Danio rerio: one gene and its partner. The protein of the gene in region 2 purifies or fractionates together with the protein of the main gene of each other region. This does not show direct contact. Links are inferred from orthologs where the notes say so. Each region holds a gene or a part of one and is shown on either strand. Other genes may lie near its edges.

The links. The genes of interacting proteins can lie anywhere in the genome.
Region 1: the proteins of wdr59 (region 2) and nprl2 purify together in Homo sapiens (affinity purification with western blotting; 5 studies listed by BioGRID and IntAct, with this or other methods). This does not show direct contact. The link is inferred for Danio rerio from reciprocal best matches to the Homo sapiens genes WDR59 and NPRL2.

The regions. Positions count from the first base shown.
Region 1 is NC_133181.1:20,689,316-20,693,064, forward strand, and holds part of nprl2 (GATOR1 complex protein NPRL2), read right to left. Parts: intron 1,730-3,749; coding exon 1,561-1,729; intron 1,456-1,560; coding exon 1,347-1,455; intron 1,210-1,346; coding exon 1,073-1,209; intron 1-1,072. UniProt on the Homo sapiens protein: Catalytic component of the GATOR1 complex, a multiprotein complex that functions as an inhibitor of the amino acid-sensing branch of the mTORC1 pathway.
Region 2 is NC_133193.1:7,060,516-7,064,264, forward strand, and holds part of wdr59 (GATOR2 complex protein WDR59), read left to right. Parts: intron 1-2,008; coding exon 2,009-2,087; intron 2,088-3,183; coding exon 3,184-3,307; intron 3,308-3,749. UniProt on the Homo sapiens protein: As a component of the GATOR2 complex, functions as an activator of the amino acid-sensing branch of the mTORC1 signaling pathway. The GATOR2 complex indirectly activates mTORC1 through the inhibition of the GATOR1 subcomplex.

The sequences.
Region 1 (3,749 bases), on a different chromosome or scaffold from region 2:
CAACAGGAACGTTGTCAACATAACTCACTGGAAATCCAAAATGCTTACACACCGGTGGCTTCATTGAAAGAGGAGAGGGTTTAAGTTCTGTCGACGGGTCTCCTGCTTCTGCAGTTGAACAAGCACTTCAACAAGCCTGTTTTTTTCCCGCTTGGCAAGCCAAGCTGACGTGACATGGGGGCGTGGCAGCATCGACGATTCTATTTTTTGATTCGATAATCGAAATTGAGCATAAATTTCGATCGATTTCAATTAAAAATTGAAATCGTGACACCCCTAATATACACACACACACACACACATATACAGTACATACACACACACACACACAAACATATATATATACACACACACACACACACACATACACACACACACACACACACATATATATATATATATATATATATATATATATATATATATATATATATATATATATATATATATATATATATATATATATATAAAACAATCTAAATCCAGATTACAAATATTTTGCTCACTGAAAAAACTGGAAGTTTTTTTCTTTGTACTTTTGTCAATTAAATAAAAGTTAAATCAACAAATCGCATGTTCTTGATTTTATAATTTTTTTTTGCAAGAAGAAGTCATTGATTTAACAGCAATGCTTGATTTTAATTCAGTCTAATAATTTTTATTAAATGAAATGAAATCATTCATTTTCTTTTCGGCTTAGTCCCTTTTATAAATCTGTGGTCGCCACAGCAAAATGAACCGCTAACTTACTAAGCACATGTTCCACGCAGCAGATGCCCTTCCAGCCGCAACCCATCTCTGGGCAACATCCATACACACTCATACACTATGTACAATTTAGCTTACCCAATTCCCCTGTACTGTATGTCTTTGGACTGTGGGGGAAATCGGAGCACCCAGAGGAAACCCACGCGAATGCAGGGAGAACATGCAAACTCCACACAGAAATGCCAACTGACCAAGCTGAGGCTCGAACCAGCGACCATCTTGCTGTGAGGCGACAGCACTACTACTGCCCCACCCGAAATGAAATTAGATATGATAAAAGTACAGGAAAGGACTTTTTATTTACCTGTTGTGTGGTAAGATCCCATTGTGACTTTATAAAGTGGTCCTTATTCTTGGTAAATACCGGTACATCATACTCCTGAACAACCAAAGGGTCTTTCCTTTGTTCAATTAGCTTCAAGTGGATGGTGTTGGAGTCATCTGCCATGAGAGAGGAAAAAGGGGGATTATTAAAACAATAAAAACCAGTAAGATTCATAAACGCATAGGAAATGTATTTTTTTTATGTATATTTGTTTTTATGTATAGGGGGCAGTGAGATTCATAAATAAACATACCAATAGGAAGGGTGCAGGCTCCTGTAATATTAAGATCCTCCAAAAGTGTGGACATGATAGGCAACAGCTTCTGCTTACTCTCCTCATTTGAAATAAATCCACTTTCAAGCTAATCAAGGACAATTCATCATATGTTTAATAAATATATAAAACATGAATACTTGTGTGTGTGTGTGTGTGTGTGTGTGTGTGTACACACTAAATTAACTTTTACCTCAAGAGTCGTGAGGTATCCAGCCAGCTTTTTGACAATGGGCTCTAAAGCAGATGTTTTTGTACTGGCATCACAGACTAAACCCAAATTGAAGAGCAAGGCATTCCTCCTGTACTTCTTATGTTCAATGCATACTGGACAGCCAATAAGTTTCTTCTCCATGGCAGTCCTTTATTCGGTTTACAGATAAAATACAGCATGATTACTAATACATATAAAGTTATATTTGCAACACGTGAAAACCTGTTTTTTATTTTTTATAAAGTTGGATTTAAAGGACTTACGACAAGGAAAAGCAGTACCTACTGTACCATTTTATTTAGTAAATTATGCCTACAGTGAAATTTTCATTTGGAATTCAATGATCAAAATTTGACTCAGTAATATAATTAAATATATTTCTACAAACTAGTGCTGGGCAAAGATTAAAGGGCAAATTTTTGGAAAGAATAAAAGTTTTGTGTTGATTTTATACATTTATTAAGTTTATGTGATATACACACACATAGTGAAGGATTGGATTTTCTGATGAATGTCTGCTCCAGGACGAAGCAACACATATCTTTTCTTATGACTTTATGAATGTTAATATAGTTGACTTTGTGTTTAAGGGCCTAGATTGAAAAAGGATGTGAACCTTTGGGTTTAATAACTGGTTGACCCACAAACACATGAAATTGTAGAGCACAACAACAAATGTGGAAAGTTGAAAAGTATAAAGAAAAGACCCCTGGAAGACCAACTGCTCATATATTCTTACAATAGTATCCTATAAGTTATATAGCCTATACTGTATTATCTTTTTAAGAAAATAGCAAAACAGTAAAAAAAAATATATATAAAAAAATTCTTTTTTAAATCTGATTAAAAAAAAAAAAAAAAAAACACTTGTGTAACCTACACAACGAAACAAAGATACAAAACGTGTCATGGGGTGTTCTGCCCCTATTAAGTGTTTAAAGAGAACATTATTAGTGATTATGTAGGTCTATAGGCAAAATACACACAGACACAGTTGTAGTCAGAATTAGCCCCTCTGACCTATTAGAGCCACTGTTTATTTTTTTTCCCCAATTTCTGTTTAATGGAGGGAAGATTGTTTCAGCACATTTCTAAGCATAATAGTTTTAGAAACCTATTTCTAAAAACTGATTTATTTCATCTTTGTCACGATGACAGTAAATAATATTTGACTAGATATTTTTCAAAACACTTCTGTACAGCTTAAAGTGACATTTAAAGGCTAGGTTAATAAGGTGAACTAGACAGGTTAGGGTAATTAGGCAGGTTATTGTATATCGATGGTTTGTTCTGTAGACTATCAGAAAACAAATTAGCTAAAAGGGGATAATAATTTTTTCCCAAAATTGTTTTTAAAAAATTAAAAACTGCTTTTATTCTAGCCGAAATGAAACAAATAAGACTTTCTCCAGAAGAAAATAATATTATCAGACATACTGTGAAAATTTCCTTGCTCTGTTAAACATAATTTGGGAAATATAAAAAAAAAAACAAAAAACAAAAGGGGGCTAATAATTCTGACTTCAACTGTGTGTGTGTGTGTGTGTGTGTGTGTGTATATAAATATATATAAAAAAAAAAAAAAAAAAAATATATATATATATATATATATATATATATATATATATATATATATATATATATATATATATATATATATATATATGTGTGTGTGTGTGTGTGTGTGTGTGTGTATATATATATATTTTTTTTAATAATAGGCCTAACTTAAGGGAGATGCGCACATTAAGAAAGCTAATATGCCAGTGTTTTGCAAAAGTTGCAGATATCTGTCCAATATCAAAAGTTGAATTTGTGTTTAAGGGCCTAGATTATATGATGACCAGATGTGTCATTGCTTTTTCTGTGTGTCAAGTTAGTTTTTTCCTCAGAATCTTCTTCCAGGATTTATCCTGATAAGATGCCTGCTGGAGAGCAAGACAGCCTAGAAGTAGTTTAGTATTGTTTGTGTATGTGTGTGCGTTTTCTTCATCTGTGTTGGAAAAATTAATCCCAAACTTTATCAAGGCATTTTTCAGGAAAACGTAAGACCATCTGTCCTCCTACTGAAGCTTAACAGAGGATAGGTGATGCAACAAGACAACAATCCAAAGGATAAAAGTAAATCAACAATAGAATGACTTTAACAAAAGAATGGACTGGCCCAG
Region 2 (3,749 bases):
AGAAGATTTCTTCAACACATTTCTAAACATCATATATTTAGTAACTCATTTCTAATAACTGATTGATTTGATCTTTGCTATGATGACAGTAAATAATATTTGATTAGATGTTTTTCAAGAGACTTCTATACAGCTTAAAGTGACATTTAAAGGCTTAACTGGGTTAATTTGGTTAACTTGGCAGATTATAGTAATTAGGCAAGTTATTGTATAACGATGGTTTGTTCTGTAGACTGTGGGAAAAAAATTGCTTAAATGGGCTAATAATTTTGTCCCTAAAATGGTGTTTAAAAAATTTAAAACTGCTTTTATTCTAGTCGAAATAAAACTAATAAGACTTTCTCATGAAATAAAAATATTATCGAATATGCTGTGAAAATTTCCTTGCTCTGTTAAACATCATTTAGAAAATATTTAAAAAAAGCAAAAAAATCTTATTAAAAAAAAAATCAAATGGGGGCTAATATTTCTGACTTCAACTGTGTATTAGCAATTTTTTTTTAAATATACATATATTTCCAAAAAACATTTCCAATATTGCCTTTGCAAAACTTCTCAAGCCAATTACAACGCTCATTTTGATTTGCGAGCTTTACTGTTTGACGATTTAAACACCCCCCCCCAAAAACAAAAGATTCAGGTATTTTACTTATTCTCGATTAGATTCATGACAGCGATTCATGGCTGATTTCTTTGGCTGTTTCTCAATATGCGTTCTTCAGTGGTCTTGCGTCCTCGTGTTCTCGTGCAACGTCATCATCAGCTGCCTAAGTTCAGTTCCAATACTCAAGACCGCAAGTACGGAGGACGCGTGAGTCACAGTTCCTGTGACTCCGCCCCCTTGCCAAATCGGGGCCAGAAATTGAAACCCACAGAAATGTAAAGTGCAAAAAGAAAACAGCATTGCAAACTGAAAAGCACATCAAAATGAGCGTTGCAATTGACTTGAATTGAAAGGTTTTGTAAAGGCAATACTGGGGGAAAAATTCGCAAATATATGTATATTTTTTAAAATTTGCAAAAAAAACTTTCTTTGCACTCTTTCTTTCCTCAACTCAATTTTCCCTTTTTTATTTATTTAATTAATTTTTATTTGACAATTTTTTTGCTCAATACTTTATTTTTTGTTTTGCAAAACTTTCTTTTATGTTGCAAGTATATATGGCCCTAGATTCAAAATCTACAGACAAACTGATGAAGTGCAACAAAATGCACACTTAAAGATGTATTTTTGGATTTTGACTTTACATTAGACTGACCAAATCCTAGAATTTACAAATGCATGAAAAGAAATGTGTTTTTGGCTGCTGAAAGTTGCTTTAAAGGGGACCTATTGTGCTAAATTCACATTTATAAAGAGTTGTGTGACATTAGTTTGTGAATATATAGCCAGCCTCTAATGGTAAAAGTCAATTAATTCTATTTTATTCTAACAGTCTACATAAAGTTTCAAAAAATTCATTCATTTTCCTTTGGCTTAGTCCCTTTATTCATCGGGGTCGCCACAGCAGAATGAACCACCAACTTATCCTGCATATGTTTTACACAGCAGATGACCTTCCGGCTGCAACCCAGTACTGGGAAACATCCATACACACTCATTCACTCACATATACTAAGGCCAATTATGTTTATCCAATTCATCTATAGCGCATGCACTGTGGGGGAAACCGGAGAACCTGTTGAAAACCCACGCCAACACGAGGAGAACATGAAAATTACACACAGAAACGCCTACTGGCCCAGCCGGGACTCGAACCAGCAACCTGCTTGCTGTGAGGCGACAGTGCTAACCACTGAGCCACCATGTCGCCTTTCAAAGACCTATAAAACATTATTTGTGGGGTATTTTGAGCTAAAACTTTACAAAGACACTCTAGGGCAATCAGAGATTTATTTTACATCTTATAACAAGGGGTATTATAGGCCCCCCTGTAAATGTGTCTTTTTTTAAATTAGCGTGAGTTTGTGTTTATATGTTTGCCTTTATAAATGAATTCTCTTTTAGCCCAGTTTCACCTCCAGTTCTGTCACTTCTGGATCGTGTTCAAGCACCTCAGACTCTGCAAACACTCCCTGGAACACAGGTGAGATTTCATTCATAGAGTTTAGTGTTTATGAAAAAAGCAAAATCTTTATTGTGTGGTGGTGTGATTTGGTTTTTACCCTCTTCTTTGGTTTTATAACAACAGATTGGGCTGGATTAGTGATTGTTAATTGATGAAAAATTGCGTCTGTCATGTTACGTAATGCATTTATATATCTGCAAAACATTTGATAATTTATTTTGTGTAAATTGTTGTGTATTTATTAATAATATTATTAACATTACTAAATAATAATTTTAAAAAATGTATAATAAACCTAAAAAAAAAAATAATAATAATATTTAGGTATTTAATGACATAAGAAAACTCGCGGATGTCATGTGAAATAATGCGTTTATAAATGTGCGAACATAAGTAATTATTCAAATTAATTATAAATATTAATTCACAGTAGTTTATATTGTTATTTGGTTTGCAATTAATAAGATTAATAGGAAATTTTATACGACAATCTATTATTTATTATTAATTTATTTAATTACTACTATGTTACATTAAATATTTAATTATATACGAATATGTGCATCTGTCATTTAAATTAATGCATTTAAAATTGTGCAAACATTTGATAATTTATTTTGTGTAATTGTGTAATTTATAATAATTAATATTAATTTCTATTGTTATTTGGTTTGCTATGAATAAGATTAGTAAGCAGTTTTTAATTATTTAATGACATAAGAAAAACACTTCTGTAAGCTAATGCATTTATAAATGTGCAAACATTTGACAATTATGTTAAATAACAAAATAATTATTGTAAATTTGTGTCAAATAATAATTTGTATTGTTATTTGGTTTGCAATTAATAAGATTAAGAAAATTCAGATTTCAGATTTTATTATTTATTTAGTTACATTAATTATTTAATTAGTTGATCAGTTGGTTGGTCTGATTGTTTGTATTAATTGTATTTAATAGTAGTGTTCTATTATTTTCAAAAAATAATTAGAATATTAATATTAAGAAGGATTATTATTGTTATTATTACTTTTTTAAAAATGTAATTTATTAAAAAATGTTATTTTAAATGTTGTTGTAGATATTATTTGGAGTTTGTTGTTTCCTTTTTCAGGTGGACGTGAGTCAGAACATCCTCCTTCATGGGGAGAATCTACTCCGGATGACTATCGCTATGCAAACCAGACTTACACAGACCCGCGAGAACGAGAAAAAGAGCAGCACGACATGAACAAAAGGTTTGACGGAACACACTAACATCACTTTAATACCTTCAAACATAAAGAACGAGACTTTAATTGTGCTGTATTTACATTTTTGACTCTTCTAAACCATAAAAATACCAAAATATGTTTGCAGATATTTAGGAAACAAGCCAAATGAACATACTTGTTTATCTGAGAAACAACGCTAAAGTCAGATATTCTCCTTTAAATATGTGTGTCAGGATGTTTGTTTGTTTAGTTATGGTCTCTATAACCAGCCCACTACCAGTAACCTCAGCATCTGAGGTTGCCTTCTATTTTGACTCTTCTAAAGCATAAAAATACGATAACATGTTTGCAGATATTTAAGAAACATGCTACTGTAAGTGAACATACTTGTTTATCTGAGAGACAACGCTAGAGTCAGTTATTCTCCTTTGAATACTGTATGTGTGTGCCATGTCAGGATGTTTGT